Macaca fascicularis: one gene and its partner. The main gene of each other region encodes a partner of the protein of the gene in region 2 in a complex. Links are inferred from orthologs where the notes say so. Each region holds a gene or a part of one and is shown on either strand. Other genes may lie near its edges.

What was found. The genes of interacting proteins can lie anywhere in the genome.
Region 1: the proteins of AP3B1 (region 2) and AP3M1 are in contact, whole or in part, in a cryo-EM structure (PDB 9C5A), measured with the Homo sapiens proteins. The link is inferred for Macaca fascicularis from reciprocal best matches to the Homo sapiens genes AP3B1 and AP3M1. Residues at the interface, in NP_003655.3 of Homo sapiens: Leu60, Lys64, Val67, Gly68, Ile70, Ala71, Lys72, Gly73, Ile92, Glu93, Lys96, Leu97, Val100, Arg104, Glu107, Asn128, Gln129, Leu130, Arg137, Arg143, Ser163, Pro164, Tyr165, Lys168, Asn169, His172, Gln175, Lys176, Leu202, Ser206; in NP_001307192.1 of Homo sapiens: Met1, Phe15, Leu16, Glu17, Trp20, Lys21, Ser22, Val23, Gln26, Val42, Glu43, Asn44, Val45, Pro46, Pro47, Val48, Ser50, Tyr55, Ser58, Ile59, Tyr60, Gln71, Thr72, Glu73, Val74, Pro75, Pro76, Leu77, Phe78, Ile80.

The regions. Positions count from the first base shown.
Region 1 is NC_088383.1:72,309,021-72,316,752, reverse strand, and holds part of AP3M1 (AP-3 complex subunit mu-1), read right to left. Parts: intron 4,557-7,732; coding exon 4,471-4,556; intron 3,801-4,470; coding exon 3,667-3,800; intron 929-3,666; coding exon 721-928; exon of another isoform or gene 699-720; intron 1-698. UniProt on the Homo sapiens protein: Part of the AP-3 complex, an adaptor-related complex which is not clathrin-associated. The complex is associated with the Golgi region as well as more peripheral structures.
Region 2 is NC_088380.1:82,072,538-82,080,269, forward strand, and holds part of AP3B1 (AP-3 complex subunit beta-1), read right to left. Parts: intron 7,161-7,732; coding exon 7,052-7,160; intron 4,059-7,051; coding exon 3,887-4,058; intron 568-3,886; coding exon 420-567; intron 1-419. UniProt on the Homo sapiens protein: Subunit of non-clathrin- and clathrin-associated adaptor protein complex 3 (AP-3) that plays a role in protein sorting in the late-Golgi/trans-Golgi network (TGN) and/or endosomes.

The DNA.
Region 1 (7,732 bases), on a different chromosome or scaffold from region 2:
AGTTGAAGCTGTGGTAAAGGGCCAGGAATCTGAAGCTCCCTTTCTCAGCCCTGTGTGGTCTCCAGGAGGTTCTTTGAATCCTTACAACTGCATTAAATAATCTTTAACATCCTATGATGTTATTCAAAAAACATGTCTTTTCATTTATCAGGTAGCTCAATGACTCTGCTATTGAAAACAATCATATTTACTAGCTAATCAGGAAGCTGAGAGAAAATCATCTGCTACAGTTTCTCTGAAAACCCTCTGCTACAGGAAAATTTAAGTAGGGTGAGGAAGCAGCTTTCCTAGCCCTGTGAAAGAGTATGAAATGATGCTTTTAAATTAAAAAGGAAGAAAAAGGTCTTAATGATCAATTTATATAGAAAACTTAATAATTCATATACCATCATAATATCTTCTTCTACATAATGTTTTCTCTTTTTAAAAAAGCTTTTACTTCTTTCTTATTAGATAGCAGAGGCTCTGGATTAATAATGGATGAGTGAAGGCACATTCTGAAAAAGGACAGAATGACACACTTTTCTGTTCATCTGCTCAGTAGCAGCTGCAGGATTCCTTTGGCAGCCAGTGGCAGAAGCACAGCACAGTATACTCTCTAGGTTTTGATACGAACTTTAGTTTTAAACAAGGTGCTAAACCTTTCCCTCCATTCCTCCCCACAAATCACAAAATAGATTGCAGAAACACTTGCTCACTCTTGATTTGAAGTGGCTGTACCTTGGTGACTGGATCAAATGTATAGCTGCCTTGTGTGGTTGTCAGGTTCATGTTCAGCACAACTTTTGGCATGTGAACTGTCACTGTAATTCCTTCAATAGTTTTCCCCATATTCTGCTTTGGTCCAATTGTTATATCAAATCTGCCACAAGAACTGTTCTCTTTAAAGCTGATACTATGTTTCACATACACTGGTATTGCCACTAGACTAAAAAGAGAAACAGAGAAAGATACAAAAGCATAAACACAATTAATGGTGTGGGGAAAGCATCAGAGGTATCCTGAAAACCTCTGTCCAGAGTATCCTACTGTACCTTTAACTCCACAATAAGGTGCTACAGAGTTGGCTCTCTGTAGCCACAGTTATGCATCCTTGAATTTGACCAGTTGAGGACTGAAAATATTATTTAACACTATCGGCCAGGCGTGGTGGCTCATGCCTGTAATCCCGGCACTTTGGGAGGCCGAGACCGGCGGTGGGAGGGGATCACCTGAGGTCAGGAGTTTGAGACCAGCCTGGCCAACATAGTGAAACCTCATCTCTACAAAAATACAAAAATTAGCTGAGGCTGGGTGTGGTGGCTCACACTTGTAATCCCAGTACTTTGGGAGGCTGAGGTGAGGAGTTCAAGACCAGCCTGGCCAACATGGTGAAACCTCGTCTCTACTAAAAATACAAAAATTAGCTGGGTGTGGTGGCTTGTGCCTGTAGTCCCAGCTACTCAGAAGGCTGAGGCAGGAGAATTACTTGAACCTGGGAAGTGGAGATTGCAGTGAGCTGAGATTGCGCCTCTGCACTCCAGCCTGGGCAACGGAGCGAGATTCCATCTCAAAAAAAAAAAAGAAAAAAAAAAAAATAACAATACAACTACAAAATATAATAAAAATAAAAAGTCAACCTGGTATAACAATTATTTACACAGTGTTTACAGTGTACTATCACAAGTAACTTGGAGATGATTTTAAGTACCCAGGAGGATGTGCATAGGTTATATGCAAATACTACACCATTTTATATAAGGGACTTGAGCATCTGCTGATTTTTGCAACCAATCCTCCAAGGATACCAAGATGGCGGTACCTCCAGAACTGCAGATTCAGCATCTACACAAGGGGGAGCTGAGTATAGCATAATGTTCTGGTACCACTGTGCTGGGAACTGTATACAAATCAAGACAGAAATCTGAAGTTTAATAACAGTATAAACAATTGGGGGTGGCTGGGTGCAGTGGCTCATGCCTGTAATCCTGGCACTTTGGGAGGCCAAGGCAGGCAGATCACTGGAGGTCAGGAGTTTGAGATCAGCCTGGCCAACATGGTGAAACCCCCTCTCTACTAAAAAAAGTAACAAGAAACAAAAATTAGCTGGGCGCGGTGGCGGGCGCCTGTAATCCCAGCTACTTGGGAGGCTGAGGCAGAAGAATCACTTGAACCCAGGAGGTAGAGGTTGCCATAAGCCAAGATCACAGAATTGTACTCCAGCCTGGGCGACAACAGTGAAACTCCGTCTCAAAACAAACAAACAAAAAAACCAAAAAAACATAAAACAAACAAACAAAAAAAAAACAATTGGGGCAAATGGCCCTAGTTTAAAAAAATGAATTACGATCCCACTGAAAAATAATGTAAAATATGTTTTATATAAATGAAAACAGTTCCTATGTGATGAGTCAAGAAACAGGCTGGGTGCGGTGGCTCACGCCTGTAATCCCAGGACTTTGGGAGGCTGAGGTGGGCGGATCACCCAAGGTCGGGAGTTCGAGACCAGCCTGACCAACATGGAGAAACCCTGTCTCTACTAAAAACACAAAATTAGCCGGGCGTGGTGGTACATGCATGTAATCCCAGCTACTTGGGAGGCTGAGGCAGAGAATCACTTGAACCCTAGAGGTGGAGGTTGAGGTAAGCCAAAATTTCACCACTGCACTCCAGTCTGAGCAACAAGAGCCGAACTCCGGTTCAAAGAAAAAAAGAGCCAAGAAATAATTTGTCTGCTTTTGAGTCCTGTCATAATGTTACTCAAATAACTTCTGGTATTTTCAAGAAACAAACTAGCTATAAAACTACGATCCCCAATGCTAAATTTTTTTTTATTTTTTTGAGATGCAATTTCACCCTCTTGGCCAGGCTGGAGTGCAGTGGCATGATCTGTCACTGCAACCTCTGCCTTCCAGGTTCAAGTGATTCTCATGCCTCAGCCTCCCAAGTAGTTGAGATTATAGGCACACGCTATCACGCCTGGCTAATTTTGTATTTTTAGTAGAGACAAGGTTTCACCACGTTGACCAGACTGGTCTAGAACTCCTGACCTCAAGTGATCTGCCCACACTGGCCTCCCAAAGTGTTGGGATTACAGGAGTGAACCACTGCACCCGGCTCTCAATGCTAAACAGTTCCTTAAAACCTCGAAGCAGAGAAGACTGACTTGAAGCAGGTAAGTTTGGGAATGTCCTCACGAACTACAGGTAGGTCTGTCTCCTTGTTAGCCACAAAGTCTACAGACTATGGTAAGATTATGGCAGTGGTTCATGGTTTTGCCCAGGTTATGCACAGTCCATTTTGCTCTGCTTGCAAAGTACTCAGCTGTCAGAAGCAGAGCAAAATGGACCGTGCATAACCTGAGCAAAGAACCAGCGCCATAATTTGACAATGCGTAACCTTGCAAAGAACCAGTACCAAAACCTTTTGCCCAGGTTATGCATGGTTTGCTTGCCCTTGGCTATAGATTTTACTCTAGTCTCACTTAGTACCACTCTACACTCATACATTCAAAGTATACTGATATTTTAGGTGCGTATTTTCACCAGTTCTCACTGGGTCTCCCGGTGAGCTATGGTTAAAGTGAGCAATGACGACCTCAAGTACTCAACTGTCATAAAGGAACAGGGAAAGGTGAGTTCTGCTTGATATGTATGATGGCAGATTCTGGCTGATGCATCAACATACTTTTGTGAGCTGACACGGTATGATATGAGTCGGAAATTTCCATCTGGAGGAATAAATGACAAAACTCTTTCAGATTCCCAACGCTTGAACCGGATGCAGGGGTGGAAGCTGACGTCATCCAGAAGCCTAGGGTTCTGTCAAGAAAACAGAAGACAGCCGTGTTCATAGAGCATAATGAATATGGGAACTGTACTTAGATACCTTGACAAATCAATATGTTCCCTGAAGATAAAGCAGTCATGGAAGAGTTTATGACCACATCTACACAACCTTATAGTTTCACAATGCTTTAAAGTTTGTAAATATTTTATGTACATTATTTTATTGAATTTCAATAACCATAAAGGAGAAAAGGCAAGTAGTATTATTTCCCTTTAACAGATTAAAAAACTGAGGTTCAGAGGACTTAAGGTCAGAACAAACTGGTGACAACACCAGAAGTCAGTTCTCTTAATTGTTCCTAGCAGTATGTCATGCTGACTCTAAAATGATACAAAAGACCAATGTCCTTTCATATCAGCAAAGCAAATAATTACTCAGTAAAAATGATACTGGATATTTGCAGAAGCCAGCCAGCCAATTTTAAGCCCTTTCTAGCACACTCAGGCAAAGACCTCCCTTAGCCTTTCCATAAAGACCACGCTCATCATGTAAGTGCCTGTCTTAGGAAACTCTGCTAGGAATATTTCTGAGACAATCCTTTGCAATCTAAGATGCAAACTTATCTCAATATTTATCATTTCATTTAGTACTTCACATGTATTAGGCATTCAAGGGGCTATAAAACAGGAGAATAAAACTTACCATGAAAGAAAGGGAGAGATCGGGCATTCCAGATAGTTTAATGCAAGCATCAATGACCCCCTGAATTTCTGCAAAGACTGTAGATCCTGAAGAAAGAAAGAAAAAGGAAGATAACATCAACGGAATATGAGTCTTAACTAGAGCTATCACTATATCTTTTTATTTTTATTTATTTATTGTTTTTAGAGACAGAGTCTTGCTCTGTTGCCAAGGTTGGAGTGCAGTGGCACGATCACAGCTCACTGCAGCCTCACTCCTGGGCTCAAGTAATCCTCCCGCCCTAGCCTCCCGAATAGCTGGGAATATAGGCGCGTGCCATGACACCTAGCCCAACAATCACTATATTTAGAATAATGGAGATACCCTCTGGGTGTCAGACTTACTGAAGCTTTACATCTCTATTAACAGGTCAGGGAACAAGGTCCATACCTAACTCTGGTTGGAATATGATAATTTTTCTTTTTTTTTAAGAGATGAGGTCTTACTAGCTAGTCCCAGCTGGCCCCCACAGTAACTGGGACTACAGGTATGCCACTGTAGAATATAATTTTTTTTTTTTTTTTTGAGACAGGGTCTTTCTCTGTCACCCAGGTTGGAGTGTAGTAGTGCTATCACGGCTCACTGCAGCCTCAACCTCCTGGGCTCAAGCAATCCTCCCACCTCAGCCTCCCAAGCAGCTGGTACTACAGGCATGCACCTCCATGCCTGGCTAATTTTTGTATTTTTTTGTAGAGACAGGGTCTTGTTACATTGCCCAGGTTGGTCTCGAACTCCTGGGCTCAAGCAATCTGCCTACCTCAGCCTCCCAAAGTGCTGGGATTACAGGTGCGAACTACCATACCCAGCCAGAATATGCTAATTCTAAGGAAAATTAAACTGTCTCCTTTATGGAGCCAACCCTGTAAGATGACTGGATATGAGTTTAAAACATATGAGGCCAGGCACAGTGGCTCATGCCTGTAATCCCAGCGTTTAGGGAAGCCGAAGTGGGTAGATTATCTGAGCTCAGGAGTTTGGGACCAGCCTGGGTAACATGGCGAAACCCCGTCTCTACTAAAAATACAAAAAATTAGCCAGGCGTGGTGGTGTGTGCTTGTAGTCCCAGCTACTTGAGAGGCTGAGGCAGGAGAATTGCTTGAACCCAGAAGGCGGAGGTTGCAGTGAGCCGAGACCGCAACACTGTACTACAGCCTGGGCGACAATGTGAGACTCTGTCTCAAAAACAAAATAAAACAAACCAAAAACATTTTCAATAGAATTTTAAAATGAGGCAAGGGTATTATGAAATGGACTAAGTCAACTTTTAAGAAATAGGATCCATAATAGAAAGATCTCTCTTTCTTTTAGAGACAGGGTCTCCCTCTGCCATCCAGGCTGGAGTACAGTGGTGTGAACATAGCTCACTACAGCATTGAACTCCTGGGCTCGAGCAATTCTCCTGCCTCAGCCTCCTGAATAGGTGGGATTAAGGAACCCATGCCTAGCTAATCTTTTAAATTTTTGATAGATACGGAGTCTCGCTATGTTGCCTAGGCTGCTCTTCAACTCCTGGGCTCAAGTGATCTTACTGCCTAAGCCTCCCAAAGTGCTGGGATTACAGGTGTGAGCCACCGTGCCTGGCAAAAATCTGTTATTCTATAAGATGGAATGTTATAATGAAAAGGGCACTCATGGAAGAGAAGATATTGACTATAATTCACAATAAACCATCACTACATGTTAACAAGTTGTGTGACTTGGAACAGTTCACTTAACCCTTCTGGGCTTTCCTTATGTATAAAATAAATGCAAGGGAAGGACTAATTTTTTTTTTTTTTTGAGATGGAGTCTCGCTCTGTCACCCAGGCTAGAGTGCAGTGGTGCAGTCTTGGCTCACTGCAACCTCTGCCTCCTGGGGTCAAGCAATTCTCCTGCCTCGGCCTCCCGAGTAGCTGGGATTACAGGCGCCTGCCACCATGCCCAGTTAATTTTAGTATTTATAGTAGAGACGAGGTTTTACCATGTTGGCCAGGCTGTTCTTGAACTCCTGACCTCAAGTGATCTGCCTGCCATGGCCTCCCAAAGCGCTGGAACTACAGGAGTGATCCACCATGTCCGGCTGCTATTTTTAATAATAAAATTTTATGATTCTTATAGAGTACCATTGTTTTGTCTGGTTAAAAAGATAATTAGATTGGGTGTGGTGGCTGATGCCTGTAATCTCAGCACTTTGGGAGATTGAGGTAGGTAAACTGCTCGAGCCCAGGAGTTCAAGACCAGCCTGGGCAACATGGTGAGACTCTGTCTGTACAAAAAATAAAAATAAAAGCTAGCCAGGCATGGTGGCATGTGGTGTGTACCTCCTGATTGGCTGGGACTATAGGCTACTCAGGAGTCTGAGGTAGGAGGATCGCATGAGCTGGAGGTCAAGGCTGCAGTAAGTAGGGACTGCACCAGTGCACTCTAGTCTGGGCAAAAGAGCAAGACCCTGTATTTAAAAAAAAAAGAAAGAAAGTGAAAAGATAGGGGCTTTTATCAGAAGTACTGCACATAATGTAGTAGCAAAAGCATGGTATATGGTAGATTTTCAATAAATGTTAGAAGGAATAAATAGCAAGAGGTAGAGTTACATAGGGTAATAATTAGCTTAAAGTAAGGCATTATCAGTTCTGATTTACATGTTTGGCAGACCTCAACTAGTGGTTATGAAAATTATATGGAACCTATGGGCAAAATAAACAGATTTATGGGCCAGGTGCAGTGGCTCACACCTGTAATCCCAGCACTTTGGGAGGCCAAGGCAGGTATCACTTGAGGTCCGGAGCTCGAGACCAGCCTGGCCAACATTGTGAAACTGCGTCTCTACTAAAAATACAAAAAATGAGCCAGGGCCAGGAGCAATGACTCACGCTTGTAATTCTAGCACTTTGGGAGACTGAAACAGGCGGATCACCTGAGGTCAGGAGTTCGAGACCAGCCCTGAGCAACATGGAGAAACGCTATCTCTATTAAAAACACAATATTAGCTGGGCGTGGTGGTGTATGCCTGTAATCCCAGGTACATGGGAGGCTGAGGCAGAAGAATCGCTTGAACCTGGGAGGCAGAGGTTGTGGTGAGCCGAGACTGCACCATTGCACTCCAGCCTGGGCAATGAGAGCGAAACTGCATCTGAAAAAAAAAATTAGCCAGGTATGGTGGCTCATGCCTGTAATCCCAGCTACTTGGGAAGCTGAGGCAGCAGGATCGCTTGAACCCAGGAGGTGAAGGTTCCAGTGAGCCGAG
Region 2 (7,732 bases):
TATGCAAATTCTTACTAAAGAATGTATACTCTTTAATTAAAGCTTTAAAACATACTCTATTATGCAAAATGCCCAATATTTTAAAAAACTGAATAGTCTAAATTTCTGATGATGTATGTATGCTTAGAATTCTTTGCTCAATACTATTTTTTGTGACTTCCTTTCACAGTCCCTTCAGCAAAAACACCCCTTGTCACAACCTAGCCAAGAACAAAAAAAGCCATATGCATAAGAGTTCCCTGATTTCGGTGGCAAGGGATGAGATTTTTTGAAAGTTTCTAGCTTTTCTTCAGAGTTAGGTTATAAGGGAAAGGCTTATCTAGAAAAAATAAAAAATTACAGGCATAGATAAGGATGGTGTTGTTTATTTTAGTTGCTGTATATTTACCTTCAATTACAACAAATGCATAATCTCTTACCTGAGTGACTTTTCTGGATTCAGATTCACTTTCAGATTCTGACTCTGATTCAGAATCTGAAGAACTGTCTTCTATTGAACTAGATTCGGCATTTGAAGAATCTGAAGTTTTAGATTTTTCATTTTCCTTCTCCCCATCTTCAGAATCACTATATATAATAGTAAATTTTGAAATATCAACTTTAACTCCTTTATATAAGTCGTTTATATAAAAAATGGTTTTTAAATTCCAGAATACATTAATGAGGTAATAATGAAGGTATTACCCATAACCAAATAAATTAGAACCCATTCAAATTCAATTCTATCCTGTCATACACACTTCATATGCAAAAAGTCATAAAATGACACTAAACAATATAATCAAAAACAATGTAGAAAATATTAAATGTCTGATTTACCAAGAATTAAGTACTACCAGTAACAACTTCAAAGATATTTAGGCTGATTTTTAAAATGCTATCTCAAAATACTGTGTGTGTATACACATATATATATTGGAGACAGGGTCTCATTGTCATCTAGGCTGGAGTACAGTGGTGCAATCATGGCTCACTGCAGCCTCGATCTCCCAGGCTCAAGCGATTCTCCCACTTCAGCCTCACAAGTAGTTGGGACTACAGGCGGGCACTACCACATCCAGCTAATTTTATATTTTTTGTAGAGACAGGGTCTCACGATATTGCCTAGGCTGGTCTGGAACTCCTGGGCTCAAGTAATCCTCCCAACTCGGCCTACCAAAATGTTGGGATTACACGCTTGAGCCACCACACCCGGTTTAGTAATATATTTAAATATTTATATATCTACTTTTGCTAAAATAGACTTGTATTTTATACACTTTTCTACCCAAGAAAATTACTTACTACAAGTTCTCAAATGTGACCTTAAACACATTCTATGAGAAATGTGTTTCTGGTTAACAAAGGAACTTCTAAAGTACTATCTTGCTACAAATTTAAGCTAATCAAATATAAACTTTTAAATTACCAAATGATCATACCTAAGTGCTTAACACCATTCATTTGTTCATTTGTTCATCTGCTCAACAAATATTAATTAATTTTTGACTACATGTTGGCATTATGTTAGGTGCTAAGGATAACAATGGTTAAGAGGATCTATGTGTGTCTACCCTACAGAGTCTACAGTCCACTGGAGGATATAGATAAGGTGGCAGTGATAATACAGTATAGTAAGTAATAAATTATAGTGTGTCAGGAGAACATTTGGAGAGACACCTAAACAAACTTAATCCAATTAGGAATGCTTCCTGGAGAAAGAGACATATAAGCCAAGATATAGGAGTAAGGCTGGCAGATGGGCAGGGAAGCAGCTCTCCAAGGAGAAGGAATAACATGTGAGATGACCAAACACCCTTATCTCAGGGGATGAGAGATGCCTTGTGGTGTTTTATATTTTCCTGGAAACTAAAAGTCTAGTTCTCTCTACAACATGTGTGTGTATATTTTTAAGAATCTACTGTGGGCCAGAAAGGGCTAGGCATTTCATACCAATCATACTGATTACCTAATTTAAATGCACTCTTCCTGGGTACATTATTATCCCATTTACAATAATGAAATTAATATTCAGAAAGGTTAAATAACTTGCTCAGGGACACATAACAAGAGGGGCAGAACTAGAATCTGAACTCAAGCCTGTCTCACTCCAAAGTCCGTATTTTTTCCACTATGTCATACTATCTCCCTTCAAATGAAAACACTTTGGAGTGTAAAATTTAAATTCGGTCATAAATATTTATGATTACTAAAGGGTGGTTTTTGAAGATGCTTAAAGCTTATTAAGAGCTTTAAAAAATTATCATACTAGCAAAGTTAAAAAAACATTCTAAGAGGCAGAAAAATACTGGGGGAGGGAGAGGAGTGAGGCAAGGAAAGAATCGATATTTCCTAGAATTGATTTTTGTAGAGGAAATATGATTGCTGTTTATTAAAAATGGAGCCATGGCAACATCTCAGAGCACATGTAATTATATTTGAAGACTGAAAAATATGTTGTTGTTTTTCCCTGGCAAAAAAACGGCAATTTATTATCCCCAATTCACTGGTTAAAATGTGTACTTAAAAATATAAGGTTTAGAATGTATTTGTGGTTCTCTTTGTAATAAACAATTCTTTTAAATTCAAATGTGGGTAAAGAGAAAAATCTATTTCTGAAGAAAGGAATAATAAAACTAATACATGACTACAAATTTCTAGTATACTGACTTCTGCCATCTGAAAGGACATTTCATGCACTGAACAAAACTTTCCCTTTCTAGAAACAAGACATGTTTTATAACTCATATCATCATAGATATTCTGATATTAAACCAGAAGTACAGGATTTCTCTCAAAGACAAGGCTATTATAAACCAAGTAGCTCCTTTGCTGCAACAAGTGAATGATTCTAAATATATTTAACTTCCAGCTTTTAAGATAAGATTTTAAAAGTAAAAGTGTTATTTTATTATGCATCACTCAATTTTGATGGTAATTATTGTTTACCTTACTGCTTAGAGTTTCAGATGTTAATCTAATGAAAAGAATTTACTGGTAACTAGGTTTCTAACTTTGCAATGATGAAAAGCCTGTATTAATTTAACCTACAGATTTCATTTGTTCTGAACAGGAAAAACAATATAAATCACTTTTAAAATCATTAAATCCTGACTTAAATTAATAAAGTCATAATTAGGGCATTATGCTGTGTTTGTTATGGAAGTGGCAGGGCGAGCTGCTTTAATTACTGTCTGTAATAAAAGGAGCAGAGAGCGTACTGCGCCCCAATCAGTGCTGTCAGCCACGACTGAGCCGAGCTGCAAGCTCATCAAGTGAGCGGGCAGCAGGCTCCTGGGGAAAGGACCATCATGTCGGCAGAGGCCACTCACTGACAGCAGTGGGGAAAACAGAGTTGCACAATCCAAGATATTAGCCCCAATTACTCAAAATTTTAATGACACTTTAATACATGATAATGTTGTTGATAATGGGAGATCTTAAAAAGTGCTAACACTTAAAGCTCTTATGACCGTCTTCCTTCACAGCCCTTGACTCTAATATTTGGATCATAATCTTTTTAATATAACATTATTTAGAAAAATCAATTGTCTTGGTTACATAATGGCAAAGTGTTGAAGGATTTAATTTTAGCCCTCAGCAAAATTGCTACAAAAGGTAATTAAGTGTTTCATACCTATTGCTTGATCACTTAACTCAGCCTTCCAAGGTTATACCAATTTTCAAAATGTAACCCCAAGATATGTTCAAGTTCAAAATGAAAGCTAAGCATTACAAGTAGGAAAATAATGTGAACTAGCACTTTAATTTTAAAAAGATTTAATATCTGTTTGGGAAAAAATACACACTTCTTTTCTCTCATCATTTTTTGATTAACAAGAAACATCTGCCTGGGGCAAACTTTCACAGAATATTTTTTGAAGGAAATTCTGACAAAATACATTACCTTTTTCCTTTGGCTTTTGAGTTCCTCTTGGCTGTTCTTTTGTTTTCTAGGCCTGACTCCCTTCCACTCTCACTGTCCTGCTCACTGGAGGAGTCCTCACTGCTGTCCTCATTGCTGTCTCCTTCCTCCCCACTTTCGCCTTGCTCTCCACTTTCACTTCCAGATTCACTCTCTGAAAAACAGAACCAGATGTTCTTAGATTTATAGTCATTTAATTAGACACACGGACACCTGTAACTGTCAATATTCATCTCAAATGAAACCAGATGTTGAATTTTAGTTCAGTGGACACCACGTGTTTAACATTTCATTCCCATACCCCATTCTTTCAGCTCTATGGATTCCTTTAGCACGGTGAGTTTGGAGGGAGGCAGACAGAGAGAGGATGCTCTGACAATGAGTAGAGAAAAGCTAAGCAAAGATGAACCAAGTAAACCAAATTTGAGGGAATCTCACTTTTCAAACCCCAAAGTATATAGCTTTGTCAAAAACTTTCTTTTAAAGAATTACATAAAGATTGATGTAAGGCTAAAGAAATAATTTTAAATTCTTCTGCTTGTAATGGGAAATTCTATTTAGAGTAAAAGAAGGCAACAGTTTAATCTTCTTAGGAACAAATTTTGAGAGGAAAATGAGCCATTCAAATCACCTGGAAAAACTTCCAAATTCAAAGACAATAGGCAAATGACTAATTAAAGAGTTATTACTTATTCGAGCTAGTAAAGGAGTTTTCCATAGGTCAAAGAGATGATCAAGTTACATTGAGGAATTATACTTTTAAATGTTTTATGTATAAATTATGGTATGCTAGGACTCTCTGCAGAAGAGAACACATGAAAAATATATGTGTATTTTTTACTATTTAAAATGACTACAACTACAGAGTTGTGTCCTAGACAAAAGGACAAACTGTTGCCCTGCCTGTGATCTACGTAACGAAGCCCTCTTAGGCAGGAACACAACCTTTAATTAAACATTCTAATGGTTAAATAACACCAACATCAGGAAGGTCCATCACAGTGAAAAGCTAGGAGTGCCTGTATTCTTTCAAGATGGCTTGCAAGGGGTACAAGCATGGGTTATCAAGTTAGTGTTCGCATTCAGATCCTGGCTCTGCTACCTGCCAGTTGTAAAACTGATCAAGTTATTCAACTTCTCTGGGTCTTGGTTTCCTTTTCGGCAAATGGGGATAATACTAGTTACTTTTCAGAGTTGTTCTGAAGATTAAATGATTTGAAACATATAAAGGTGATTAGAACACAACAGGGTCTGCCACAGGTTAAGGTGCTCATCATTATCATCATTTACAAACAGGAAAGTTTATTTTACTAAAATAAAGCTACTAAATAAGGACATTTTAAATTTGTGGCAATATCCAAGTTACACACACATACATATTAAGTCAGATAACTGGCTTATGCTATAAACGATGAAAAGAAATTACAGCATCTAAGTTACTCTCTCATGTCATCACATGGGACTGCAACACGAATCTGGGGCCAGCTGACTTCAGGCACCATTATTTAAATTTTCGAGTCAGTAAAATCTTAGAGAAAATTAGTTTATTCTCAAAAATACTTGCTACCTGGAAAACACAATCTTATAACATTTTTGTTTGTTTTTTGAGATGGAGTCTTGCTCTGTTGCCCAGGCTGGAGTGTAGTGGTGTGATCACGGCTCACTGTAACCTCCGCCTCCTGGGTTCACACCATTCTCCTGCCTCAGTCTCCTGAGTAGCTGGGATTACAGGCACGTGCCACCACGCCCAGCTAATTTTTTGTATTTTTAGTAGAGACGGGGTTTCACCGTGTTAGCCAGTATGGTCTCAATCTCCTGACCTTGTGATCTGCCTGTCTCAGCCTCCCAAAGTGCTGGGATTACAGGCATGAGCCACCACGCCCAGCCAATCTCATAACTTCTAGCAAGAAAAGTTTTCTTTTTTCCTCTGGCAGCTACAGTAGAACTCCTGCCACATGACTCATTATTACATGTATTCAGACAAACTCATGAAAAGCTGTAATGTTAATGGAATATTTCGTGTATGTATTAAAAATGGTCAGCCTATGAATAGGCATGGGCTAGTGAATAAATATAATGTAGACAAATATCTATATGTAATTCTACAAAATGAAGAAGTACATGATTAATTACACAGATAATTCTCACAGGTCTACATTACTCCTGAAATTCCATATTTTTTAATATCTACTTTCTCAATTATTTCTCTACTTTTCAGTTGATTACTTCAGAAGGTAATGTATCACAGATTAATTTATCAGATATTAAAAACAAAGATTTTTGATAAGGAACACAGAGAAAAGAGAGTGAATTACCTTAGAGTTGGGTAGTAGATAACCAAGTAAGAGTGACAGGCCCTGGTTCTCCAAGGTATAAGATTTTAGAGAAAGTTGGGTATCACTTGGTCTTGGGGCAGACTTGCCTATTAGGTTAAGTGTTAATAAGAGCATCAGAAAGTGACTCCAATATAGTTTTCATTAGGCAAATCACTCACAGAATTTTAGCAATGAAGGGACTTTAAGAAATATTTAACTCTACCCCTTCATTTATCTGATATAGAGAAAAGTAGGTGCCTTCTTCAATTTGCATAGGTAAAACCCAGGGTTTCTAAATCCTTCCTATTCAGCATTCTTTTCACTGCATACAGTTACTCTCAATCTTTAGTTTGATTTTTTTATAGTATATAGAGACTTAATAATTTTAGCTTTATCTCTATAGAGGTTCACAGAAAGAGATGAGTATAAAATGAAAGAGAAAAAGACTCTTCAAGGTATAAAATAAACTTTACATTTTTATAAAAGAAAGTTACTTTTAAAGACTCCACTAAAAGTTTATCAAGTATAAAATCATGTTTTCCAATAGATATAATAGGCATTATGGTTTAGAATTCAGAAAAGTATGAGTTCCTGTTTCAGCTATACCAATGTATTAGCTATTGTCCAAGAGACATTGTAAAGTAAAAAGAGAATTTAGTAATTAAAAATTACCTTGAAAAGTAAACAGCGATATATAAATGAAAGGGATTATTTTGATAATACAAACTTCACTTAAAACCACCTGCTGAATATTATAGATTAGGCCTTGTTTCTGAGATATAGAATGTAATCTACTATGTAAAAATACATGCCAATAAATTATAAAACCCACCACTGTCACTGCTACTATCAGAAGAGTCCTCCTCTTCCTCAGATTCAGAATAAAACTTCTTAGCAGAATTCTCTTGTTTTGCTTTTCCCGCTGGGGTCCATTCTTTTGCCTGTTTAAACAAATAAAGTAAATATAAATGAATTCTCATTCAGAGATTTAGAGTTCTGGCAAACTTAATCATCAAGAACATAACCAAATTCAAAAGCAAGCTTATGGCCTCAACAGAGAATGCAACTGTTAGAAGTCCTGGCATTAAGGCTGATTTACTTTACTCCTAAATACAGCAGCACAAACTCTCACTCAGAGCCCCTATGTTAAACCAACAATCTTATTTCAAATATACAATCTTTAAAACTTTTGTGTTTGTTGGCCCACAGAAGATTTAAACAAAAGTAGTATATCCTAAAATAGGTGAGCAAAACTAGAAGCAGATACAGTAACAGCAATAACAAACACAAGTTCATAGCTTGACACTGAAGGAAAAGAGAGAAAAAAAAGAAAAAAAGAAAATTTAGTGTAGGCAATAAATTGCCCTGACCATCTCAACAGCCTAAATCCTGGAGTAATCCTTTACTTCTCTCTTTTTCTCATATTCTAAACACCTCAGCCATCAAGAAATACTACAGCTACCCTGGTCTGACCCATCGTTCTCTCCTAGACTATGCTTCTACTGCCCCTCCA